3 linked regions of the Rattus norvegicus genome follow. The main gene of each other region encodes a partner of the protein of the gene in region 3 in a complex. Links are inferred from orthologs where the notes say so. Each region holds a gene or a part of one and is shown on either strand. Other genes may lie near its edges. The genes, in order: Drc7, Drc12 and Iqcd.

What was found.
Region 1: Iqcd (region 3) and Drc7 share a complex: the UniProt entries of both Homo sapiens proteins name them as parts of the nexin-dynein regulatory complex. The link is inferred for Rattus norvegicus from reciprocal best matches to the Homo sapiens genes DRC10 and DRC7.
Region 2: Iqcd (region 3) and Drc12 share a complex: the UniProt entries of both Homo sapiens proteins name them as parts of the nexin-dynein regulatory complex. The link is inferred for Rattus norvegicus from reciprocal best matches to the Homo sapiens genes DRC10 and DRC12.

What each region holds. Positions count from the first base shown.
Region 1 is NC_086037.1:9,957,105-9,960,752, forward strand, and holds part of Drc7 (dynein regulatory complex subunit 7), read right to left. Parts: intron 3,541-3,648; coding exon 3,382-3,540; intron 3,200-3,381; coding exon 2,981-3,199; intron 2,271-2,980; coding exon 2,145-2,270; intron 142-2,144; coding exon 69-141; intron 1-68. UniProt on the Homo sapiens protein: Component of the nexin-dynein regulatory complex (N-DRC) a key regulator of ciliary/flagellar motility which maintains the alignment and integrity of the distal axoneme and regulates microtubule sliding in motile axonemes.
Region 2 is NC_086026.1:53,473,682-53,477,429, reverse strand, and holds the start of Drc12 (coiled-coil domain-containing protein 153), read right to left. Parts: upstream 2,772-3,748; 5' UTR 2,457-2,771; coding exon 2,387-2,456; intron 1,543-2,386; coding exon 1,477-1,542; intron 585-1,476; coding exon 465-584; intron 19-464; coding exon 1-18. UniProt on the Homo sapiens protein: Component of the nexin-dynein regulatory complex (N-DRC), a key regulator of ciliary/flagellar motility which maintains the alignment and integrity of the distal axoneme and regulates microtubule sliding in motile axonemes.
Region 3 is NC_086030.1:41,630,599-41,634,346, reverse strand, and holds the start of Iqcd (dynein regulatory complex protein 10), read left to right. Parts: upstream 1-1,341; 5' UTR 1,342-1,377; intron 1,378-3,748. UniProt on the Homo sapiens protein: Component of the nexin-dynein regulatory complex (N-DRC), a key regulator of ciliary/flagellar motility which maintains the alignment and integrity of the distal axoneme and regulates microtubule sliding in motile axonemes.

The sequences.
Region 1 (3,648 bases), on a different chromosome or scaffold from region 3:
GGTGGAAAGAAGGGCACAGGAAGCCTCTATGCTGAGCTGTGGGCTGAGAACCAGTGAATGACAGAGACCTTCTGGAGTGATCTCAATCTGGGCGACCCACGAAGGCGGCATGTCAAAGCTCTTATCCTCCTCCTCTTTGCCCTGTGAGGAAAAGAGGTGGTTGCTGGCCAGGGATTTAGAGCAGAGGCCATGGTGCAGCTCTGTCCCCTACCCGAGACTCAGACTTGCTGAGGGGGCTGTCAGTTTCCCCCAGAAAAGCAAGAAGTCAGAAGATGATCCAGGATAGGGGAGGAGAGGGGTAGGTTTGGGTGGACTTGCCTAGTCCCTACTTGCCTGGTCTAAGATGATAGGCATCTGTTCTCAAATCCCACCCTTCCAGCCAAACCACTTGTGGCCATGACGGCTACTCAGAGAGGGGATCCTGAGTCAGAGGGAGCCAAACCTTTGGCTAGACCTAGTACCAGGTAAGGAGGGCTGGGTAAGCTTTTCATCCACTCTAAACCTAGGTTTCCTTAGCTGTTAACTAGGCCTCTTGGGAGGACTAATGGATGTTATAAGTCTTGGCTGTTCTTCCAAGGTCTGTGAAATAGGCCTGGTCTAGACAAGTGATCCTCAAACCAAGCTCAAGATTTTCTGTGTGTATTCTTTTTGCCATAGACAATGCTCAGACCTTGGACGCGTGCTCATCTAATTGTGACTTCTTTTGAGATCACACAAGGTCATCTCAGTCAGCAGAGGACATAGGGACTTTTCTGAGACAACCCTGGAATCCCAGGCCTGGCCCTACAGCTGAGAGCTGGCGCTCAGGCTGTATCATCTATCCATGTTGGAGGGACCAGGATTCTCATTCCAGGGGTGTGACAGGGCTTCCAGAAGGAGCAGGCTCCTAGGTTGAAGGGTACACACTGCTGGTCTATGCCCCGCAGCAAACGGGGACACCAGTGTTCAGAATCGAGGAGAGGGAGGACAAGGTGGCCTCAGTCATTCTTAGGCAGCCTTCTGAGCTGAACAGTCACCACGAAGAGCCCAGATAGGCAACCAGACTGTTGGGGTTTGGCTCCCAGATCTCTCACTTATTGGGTGGGTCCTTCAGTGTCTCATTTGGCCCTGCTGTGTATATGTTGTCCTTGGCTACTCAGGAGGCAGAGATTTACATGAGAGAACTCAGATTCCGCACTAGAAACAGAACCTGTCCCCGCAGTGTTGCCTGTTGATATGGGTTTGCTCAACCTACCTCTAAAATCATGTGCTAAAGCCCTCACCCCCAGTACCTATGAATCCAGTTGCATTTGGAAGTCAGGTCTTTATGGGTAAGGTCATGGAGTCTAAATTGGGTCTTTAGGTGATCCTATTACAATATGCAAAGTGTCCTTATGAGACAAAGGAATTAGGACACAGATTCATAGAGAGGGGGGCCAGATAAAACTACGGTGTTCATGGCCATCAGCAAACCCAGGGGATCTCTGAAGAAACCAGCCCTGCTAGCACCTTTGATCCTGAATTTCTAGCCTCCGGGAGTGTGGGGCTTCCCTTATGGCGATGCCAGCAGATACATGTGTTATTGTTGCTATGGATACCAAACACAGACCATGACCCTCACCCTAGTTTTACATGTAAAGAAGGCATGGGAGATTCCCAAAGCAAGGGGAATTTGCCTCCTAGTCTCTCCTTTCTCACACAGGACCCCATGCATGAAGTACCCCACCCCACACACACCCCTTGTTGAAAGATGACAGACAGAAGGCTGATGACGGGATACCCAGGCCAGGGGTCTTTAGAAGACCTAATAGGATCAGAAGGAAAGGCCTAGCTTGATAGAACAATCATCATGGTGGTTAAAGAGGAGCTAGGGCTCCCACTCCAAGAGATGGTCTCTCTAAGGAACTGTCCAAACCTTTGATCAGAGTTCCAGACGGGAGAGACTGAATTCAAGTACTGTCCCTCCCCTAACCTCCTGAGAGGTTCTGGGATGCTCACCGCATCTGTAAAATGAGAGCTCTACAGACCCCTCTGCGTTGAAGAGTGTATGACTGATAGGTTTGGACACCCCCCATACACGCACATGTTTTCAGGGATGTCTGTCAGGCTGCCTGACCCAAAATGGAGTGAGGACCCTCGACCCGCCCCCATGCTACCAGACTCACCTGATCTTCGTCCTCATCGTCATCCAGCCCTTCGTCGTCATCATCAGTCAAGGACAGGTGAGGCTTATCGGTCCCCAAGAGCATGTACTCCCATCTCACAGGGTCTCCCAGGTCAAAGATCAAGTCCTGATGGAGGGGGAACCAACTGAGTGTACCCCCTGCACCCTGTAACTATGCCTGCTCCTAAGGGGCAATGGCTATTACTTGAGGCTCTGCAGAATGTCAGCTCCATCCAGTCTCTAAGAGTCCAGCCACATTCTCCATCTCATCAGGGGAACTGAGGCCCCCACTCCCATCCCATCATCCCAAGGAAGAAATCCTATAGCATGTCCAGAAGAGACTCATCAGTGCCCCCTGCTGGGGACAGCCTGTACATGAAGACATTGTAGGTCACTAAGGGAGGGAAGAACCAGGAACCACGTGGCTACAGGAGATCTCAGAAGGAACCAGCCCTGCCAGGATCTCGGTCCTGGATTTCCAATCTCTGGAACTGTAAATCAAAGAATTTTCATTCTTTAAGTTCCTATCCTGGGCTGGAGAGATGGCTCAGTGGTTAAGAGCACTGACTGCTCTTCCAGAGGTCCTGAGTTCAAACCCCAGCAACCACATGGTGGCTCATGACCATCTGTAATGGGATCTGATGCCCTCTTCTGGTGTGTAAAGAAAAAAAAAACCGCACAGAACAAACTGGGGAAGGTCATATAGCTAGAATGGCCCTTGAGAGCCGGGGGTGCGGCTTTTGGCATCTCTACCATACGTAACCCTGCTATGGGGGGGGTGTGGCCAGACCACCCACGGGCCACATCCTTGGTCTCCACCCCCCAACTCCCGCACACCTTACAGCAGTTCCAGCAGTCCTGCATATTGATCCAGTAGTTCTTGTGGTTCCAGAGACTCTCGATGCCCAGGAAGTGGTCATCCTTGGTGCCGTAGCTGCGCCCGGTAAAAGGGTCGATGAAGAAGCTCTCAGGCACCTCGCGCTTTCCCGACAGCACCAGAACCCAGGAGTGCACCCGCAGGCCATGCAGGGGGTCAGGCTTCGCTTTCTCTGCTTCCTACACAGGGAAGTTGGGTGGTTCGCTCTTTAGGGCACCCTGGGTGAGATTTCATCCAAAGAAATGCAATGCGTTCTACGGATAAGGGGTGCTTTGGTGAATCTTAAGAGAAGGTCCTCATATGTTATCCATTGGGCCCACGTAACCAGCTATGGCAGGGTTGCATGCCCGTGGAGACCCACCAGGAGGCGTTCTTCCTCTTCCTTAAGCCGCTTCAGTTCTTGGTCCTTTATCGCCTGTAGTCTCTTCTCCTCTTGCTCCTGCTCAAACCTGCTGGTCAGGTCCCGGGGCGGCTTGACGGCATATTTCTTAGGCGCTACCTTCTCTTTCTTCGCGACTATCTGTCACCCAAGAAGAGCGGGAAGTCGAACTTCCACCTGCACTCTACACAGGCTTAATGGGACAGACGAGGGCTAGCACGAGAATATTTAAGCACGCACACAAACTCA
Region 2 (3,748 bases), on a different chromosome or scaffold from region 3:
GACGCTGGCGGCTCATCTCTGAGGTAGGAGCCGTAGGCAGCAGGAACCAAGGTAGGGATGGAGGCATGAAGAAAGGAAACAAAGTTACATGTCTCAGTGGAGTCTCGGTGGAGGAACAGAACCAAGAAACTCGGGAGACCTTGAAAATTTGGGGGATAAGAAACAAGACCCTTTCCCCCATATTTAGGGGGGATTCTGGCAATTCCTCCTACTTACTCCCAAAGATGAAGAAGATAAGGGCTGTGACTATATTTTGTATCACGCAAACACTAAGCACGGCGCATTAGACACTCTAGAATGTGGGAATCCACCTTCTACCAGGGATCTATCTTTGATTCTCAGGACACTGCCTACGCACGGAAGTATAGCAGTTGGAATTCCTCTTCATTTCCCGTCCTTGGATTCCCTGACCCTCTTGCTTGTCCTCCTCCAGGCCCATTTCCTGCCTACCTGATCAAACATACCTGCATATACAGCCCGCCCTTCACTTTGGGTTCTTTCCAGTTCAGCTTCCAGCCCTTGTAACCTCTGTTTCAGCCTGTCTTCGGAAGCCTTGGCTCGGCAAGCCTCTTCCCTCTGTAGAGCTGTGAATAATCTCAGAGCCATGCTCAGGTCTGGCTGAGGATGCCATGGACTCAGTCACCACAGCCTTGAACTATGTGTCTCTCTGGGAACTTGACAGGTGTCAACCTCTTATTCCGTGTCTCTCCCCCCATCCCCCTTTGAAACCCATAAAGTTTCTATTCCTACAGAGTCAATAGTCACTCCCTGTTCTGGTTACTAAAAAACAATGGCTTGCTTCCCTGAGCTGCAGGTTAGCTTCATGGTAGACTACTTAGCTCTCACGAATGGGGTTGTGATTACATTCCCAGAGTCAGGGGAGAAGAACAGCTTCTTCATCACCTTCACTGCCTACCCTTTCTTCACGATCTTTGCCAACAGAGAATGGCTGGCTTGGTTTAGCACCCCCTGGACATAGTTTAAACTGCCAGTTCTCCAAGAACCCAGAAATGCCCCATGTGCCATGGGCTGCGTGAATAGTTCTGTGTCAACTTGACACAAGCTAGAGTCATCAGAGAGGAGGGAGGAGAATGCTTCTCTAAGACCTGGCTGTAGACAAGCCTATGGGGTATTGTCTTAATGAGTGATCGATGGGGAGGGTCCAGCCCACTATGGGTGGTGCTGCCCCTGGGCTGGTGGTCCCGGGTTCTATAAGAAAGCAGGCTGAGCAAACCACGGGGAGCAAGCCAGTGAGCAGCATCCCTCCATGGCCTCTGCATCAGCTCCTGCCTCCAGGTTCCTGCCCTGTTTGGGTTCCTGGCCTGACTTCCTTCAATAATAAACTGCTTTGGAAGCACAAGCCAGATAAACCATCTCCTTCCCAAGTTGCTTTGGTCGTGATGTTTCCTCACAGCAGGAGGATAACCCTGATTAGGACATCATCTCTGCTGTCTCCTGAGGCTCCACTCTTCTTACCTAAGTGGTCCTGAAGCAGCTCCTTCTCTAGCAGCACCAGCCTGTGCTTGGCCTCAGCCTCCACACCTGTCATGGCAAGACCACAAAGTCTTAGGCTATCTTGATCTCGATCCTGCTCCGTCTTCCATGCTTCTTGCAGGATGGAGGAAAAATCACTGAGGGAGGGATACTCAATGGCAAAAATCGGACAAATTCACTGCTTCACTGCCTTGTACTTGGTGGGTGCTCAAAAGAAAACTGTGACAAAGGCAAAGAGCTAGATGGGGCTCCAGGGGGATTGAAGTATTCTCCGGTTCCCCAGCCTGGTGGAACCTGGACTCAAGGCTCTGAAGAGGAGGGCAAGAAAGCTTCACTTGAGCTGGAGAGATGGCTCAGCGGTTAAGAGCACTGACTGCTCTTCCAGAGGTCCTGAGTTCAATCCCCAGCAACCACATGGTGGCTCACAACCATCTGAAATGAGATCCGATGCCCTCTTCCGGTGTGTCTGAAGTCAGCTACAGTGTGCTCATATACATAAAATAAATAAATATTTTTTTTTTGGTTCTTTTTTTCGGAGCTGGGGACCGAACCCAGGGCCTTGTGCTTCCTAGGCAAGCGCTCTACCACTGAGCTAAATCCCCAACCCATAAATATTTTTTTAAAAGAAGGCTTCACTTTAGCCAACTGTGGTGGCAGTGCCTAGTGCCAGGCACTGGGAGCACCAGACAATCCCAGCACTAGGAAGACTAGGAGGATATGTTTGAGGCTTGCCTGGGTTCCATCGTGACCCTGTATCAAAAGAACAAAAGACAAAACCAAAAGAAACCCACTCCATTTTGTTGCCCGATGGGCTGGATTCCCTCTGAGGACCTTTGTGTGGACTGTGGACAAGGACACACAGGGACACTGCCCTTTACCCACTGTGACTCACCAGGACTTGAATTCTTTTTCTTCTTCCGTGTGGCAGCTTTTCTCCCCTTTCCTTTGGTTTTAGGTGGCATCCTGCTGTCCTGGCGAAGGGAAGACCTTCTATGTGGATCAGCAGACAGACATGCTTTCCTGACTCTTAGACCAAGCTGGGAGTCTCTGGAGCTTCAGAATTCTAGTCTTCCAGTGTATCTTACACTTTCTAGAAGCTTTGCTTCTTGGTCTCCTGGGACCCTTGGGGAGGGATGGAGTCAGTGAGGGAGAATAATTCTATGTGCAGCAGTTAGCCTCTTGAGAAACTTCTGGACCTGGTCCCTTCTCTCTCCCCAAAGTATGCCTTCTCCCCCCTCCTATCTACCTGCAAGACTCTCTCTTGCTTGTGTGGTGTCTCCCTGGGGAATGCCATGGGGACAGTAAAGAGAGATCCAAGCAGATTGAGCCTAGGGAGGAGCCCGGGTCCTGGGAGCCAATCCAGGGTGTAAAACTTCCTCAAGAGGCAGGACCAAGAACTGGGATGTTGGGTTTCTGGAGACTGCAGGTTGTCCGGGCAACTGGGAAACAGGCAGGTGGTGAGCTAAACCAAAGGGAAGCTTCTCTTCTCACGTCCATGTCCCAGCCCTAAAGAAAAGCTTTGGAGTTGAATGGCTATTTTTCATGTCTACACTGCCTGAGACTCTCTAGGCTAGGAATCTAGAAATTTAGTCTTGGAGAACAGTGTTTTACAGACATAGCAGAAAGGCAGGGACAGTAGCCATGATGGCTACTTTATATCTGGAGTTCTCGAGAATACAGTGATGTTATTTACTTTGAAAACGAAGGTTCATGCTTCAAAAGGCTACTGTGATATGTGAGGGAAACACTTTCTGGCACAGGTGTTGAAAGTTTTCCACTTACAAGATGTGGAGCCATGGACTTCAGGATGTTGACCCACCCAGAGAGAGGAGCACACATTAGGCAGAGTCCATGAGTTCAGCTACTTAATTTTGCTCAGCTTGAATTTCTTTTTTTTTTTTTTTTTTTTTTGGTTCTTTTTTTCGGAGCTGGGGACCGAACCCAGGGCCTTGCGCTTCCTAGGTAAGCGCTCTACCACTGAGCTAAATCCCCAGCCCCTCAGCTTGAATTTCTTGGTGTATACGTTTTGTAGCTCCTGACTTCGGTGGTGTGTTTGCAGGACCTTTTTTCTCTCCCAGTCAATCTTGCCTCCTCCCCCTATTTCTTTATGAGGTTTAATCTGCAGCCCCCAGGCACCCTGCAGCATAAAGTTGGTTAGGGCTCCCTCTAGTGGACCTGCTTGACCTTCTGCATCCCCTATTTGCAGTTTAGTAATTTCTTGGGCGATATTGGGGGAGATTCCCTTTAGCGGGTG
Region 3 (3,748 bases):
TCGCCTCTCACGAGTAAACAGACACAAGTAGTCATGGAACGCGGGTGGTACTTCCTCCCCCCCCCCCCCCCCCCCCCGCATTTCAGCGCGGTCCCACAACTATTCCTAGAAACGGCACTCCACTTAAGTGAAATCCACCAACCACTTTCTTGTTTATCTTTTGAGACAGGGATATCCCTGTCGAGCCCTGTATAGCCTCGAAGTTGCCATCCTCCTGCCTCTGCCTCCCAAGGAACCTATGACTTTTCAAAGAGAAAGAAACGGGCCCAGAGAGGAGAAGGAAACTGTCCAAGGTTACACAGCAGGCTCAGACACAGACTCAGAGCTCCTCAGGTCCTGCCCTTTGGCAAACCTCGGTTCTCACTCTAGAGAGGAACCAGAGAGTCACCCACAGGGTAAGGTCACCCCTGGAAGAAAGTCCGAGGATCAGATGGCTAACTGCAATCCTTCGGTTTGTCCTCTGGGGCAGACTGACCGGGGCAGGAGTCCCCGGCCGGGTCACAAGAGGACACAGCCCCGGGAAGTGAGGGGAGGGAAGGCGGGGAGGAAGGGTCACCCAGAGGCTCCAGCTCCCCATGATCCCCGTTGCAGTCCGGGTCCAGAAAGTCAGGCCAAATAAAAGGCGTGCAAAGAGAAGGGGATCTTCAGGGAGAGAAGCACGCGGGCCACCTCCCAAGGCCCCGCCTCGGGCTTCGGGAGCACCCAGTCCCAGTCCAGCCCCTTCTCTGCACCCTCTGACCCCTGACCCCTGTCCTCCGGCCAAGATCGCGCACCCCTCGGATTCTTACACGCGCCGTCCCGGATCCCGCACCGTGCACCGGGTCTGCACAGCGCAGCTCAGCCCGCAGCTGCTGCCGCCAATATCCCCACAGCGGAGCCTCAGCAGCCGCCACCGCCGCCTCACCGCTGCCACAGCGGCAGCTGCGCCAGCCCTCGCATCCGCCGACTCCTGTCACTCAGCCTCGCAAGCCCCGCCCACGGCCCTACGCCACGGCCTATTGGCCATCCGAGAGGTCGCAATGAAATTTGACAGGGTAAACTACATGTCACTCACTGTTCTCACAGGCCTCCTCCCGGAGGGAGGACAGAGCGAGGAAGCACCACCCATTTTTCCCCCGCCTCACTCACTCAACCAACAGGAATCCCGGGTCTTTCCATTGGCGAAACGTCAGGGAGGCGGTGATTTTGATTGGCCATCTTTAAGAAGGCGGAGCCAACTCAATCTGACTAGAAGTTGAATGGGGAAAAAGGAGGTCAGTTAAATGCAAAGTCCCGCCTTCTAGGAGTGGCTCGTAACCTAGCAACACAGGGGCCGCCGACTTGGTTAACTGTGGGCAGAGAAACTGTGGGCAGAGAAACTTGCAGCTCGTGGAGCAGGTGAGTGACAGTGGGAAAGCCCGGGGCTGCAGGCTGTGTGCACCTAGCGAGCACACCGTTCAGTGACACCCCCAGGGGTTCCCACCCCACTGCCATCCCATCCAGCTCCGGGGCCTCACTCCCCTGCCCTAGCTCCATCCAGGCCTCCTCTAGGCCTGCTGCAAAGACCACCGCGCATCCTCTTGTCCTGTCTCCTGGTCCTCATTTCATCGCTCCGCTCCTCATCCCTCAGTGGTACCATTTATGAAGACATAGAGTGAATTTAGTTCAAGTAATGGGATGGGTTGTTTTGTTTGGCGCCCACTGTCGCCACTATGTTCGGAGGTGCACGGTCCCTTTCAGTGTATTCTTAAAAATAAGGGTTTGTTGTTTGTTTTGGTTTTGAAACAGGGTTTCACTATGAAGCCTCGAACTCACTCTGTTGACCAGGCTAGCCTCAGACTCACAGAGATCCACCAATCTTTGCCTTCGAGTACTGGGATTAAAGGCATATGCCACCACCCCTAGTTAATTAGTTTTTTCTTTAATTGTTTTTAAAGGTTTTCATTATTATTATTATTTTGATCACTATGCTTGCGTTGGTGGGGTGTGTGAATGTGAACACAGAAAAAGTGTTTTGTACCCTCTAGAGCCCGGAGCTGAAATTAATTACTAGCAGGGAGTTATGAGCTGCCCAACTTAGGTTCAGGGAACTAAACTCTGGTCCTCTGAAAGAGCCATACACACTCTTTAAAATAACTTAAAGATTCATTTATTTTTACTTTCTATGTATCTGTGGGTGCCTACATGTATGTGTGTGCAGTGTATGTGCACAATGTGTGTGTGTGCTGTGACTGAGGAGGCCAGATGTGGGCACTGGATCCGCTGGACCTGGAGTTCTGGGCTGGTATGTATATGCTAGGAACAGAGCCTAGATCCTCTGCAAGAACAGCCAGTACTATTAAACACAGAGACATCTTTCCAGCCTGGTTATTTTCTGGATACACAGGATTTTGCTTTGAGGTTAACGTTACATTTTCACTCATATCCTTAAAATGTGGTTTCCTTGTGCATCCTGAAGACAAAGAAGAATTTCTTGGGAAGATTGAATGAGACGAGGCAAAGAAGGGTGGGAATGGGCACAGGCACAGGATGACTGCTCAGCTAATTGCAGTGATCCCTGCAGTGACTCATTCTTCCCTAACTCTCTCTGTCTAAACATTTCCTAGGACATTCTCTTGGCTCGCACAGTGAATCATTCACACATTTAACAGGGGTTTATTGAGTGCTTAGGGTGGTCAGTGGAGGCTGGAGAGATGGCTTAGACAATAAGAGCACAGACTGCTCTTCAGAAGACCCTTAGTTCCCAGTGCCCACATAAAGTGGGTAATTTGACTCCCAGGTGATCCAGCGCCCTCTTCTGGCCCCAAAGACACCTGCACTCATATAGATATACACACACACACAGGCACATGCACACTTTTTCTTTGAGCCCCTAGCGGGTGTTCTTGGAATCAAACGTGATTAAAATTCAAGAACATTTGAAACAGCATCAGAGGAAAATATCTCTGAACTTCAGGTTTCGTTATAGCAACAGGTTAGATCCTGTAGCCAACAAAAATATTTTAACTCTAATGCTTCCAAGTGCAGGAGACTTTTCATCTTTTAATGGACAAGGAAATGTGTTTTCCTTCTAGTCTCAGTACAGGTTTAATTATTGAAAGAATAACGTGGGCTCAAACTGCAGTCAGATGGCATTGAGTGTGTCTCACATGTGAGGCCTTAAATTTAATCCCCAGCACCAAAATGCCAGGCAAATACAAATTCTGTGCTTCCTACACGCGTTAATTATATTGATATCTTACACTCTGGTAATTAATGTTTCTTTAAAGATGAAGGATTTATTTTTATTCTGTGTGTCACCTGGCTTTTACACGGGTGTGAAGGAACTTCTGATTCAAGCAGCAGACATGCGTAAGCAGCAAGCATTTTACCCACCGAGCCGTCTCTCTAACCTGCATTTTAAATTCAGTTTCATTTATTTAGCATGTGTATGTGTGTGCACGTGTGTATGTGTTATGCATGTATGTGTGCACATGGATGTGTGTGCATGTGTGTTGTGTGTGTGTGCCTGCTTGCTTGTGTGTATTTGTGTGATGATATTTGTGTATGCATCTGCCTGTGTGTGTGTAGCGTATGTATGTATACAGATGTGTATTATGTATGTATGTGTATTGTGTATGCATGTGTATTTGTAGTCATGTAATCATATGTGTATGTGTATCACGTGTGCATGTGCATGTATGTGCATATGTATATGCATGTATATGTGTTCATGTGTGTGTGCATCCTTATATATGTGCATGTATGTGTGTGCATTTATGTATATGTG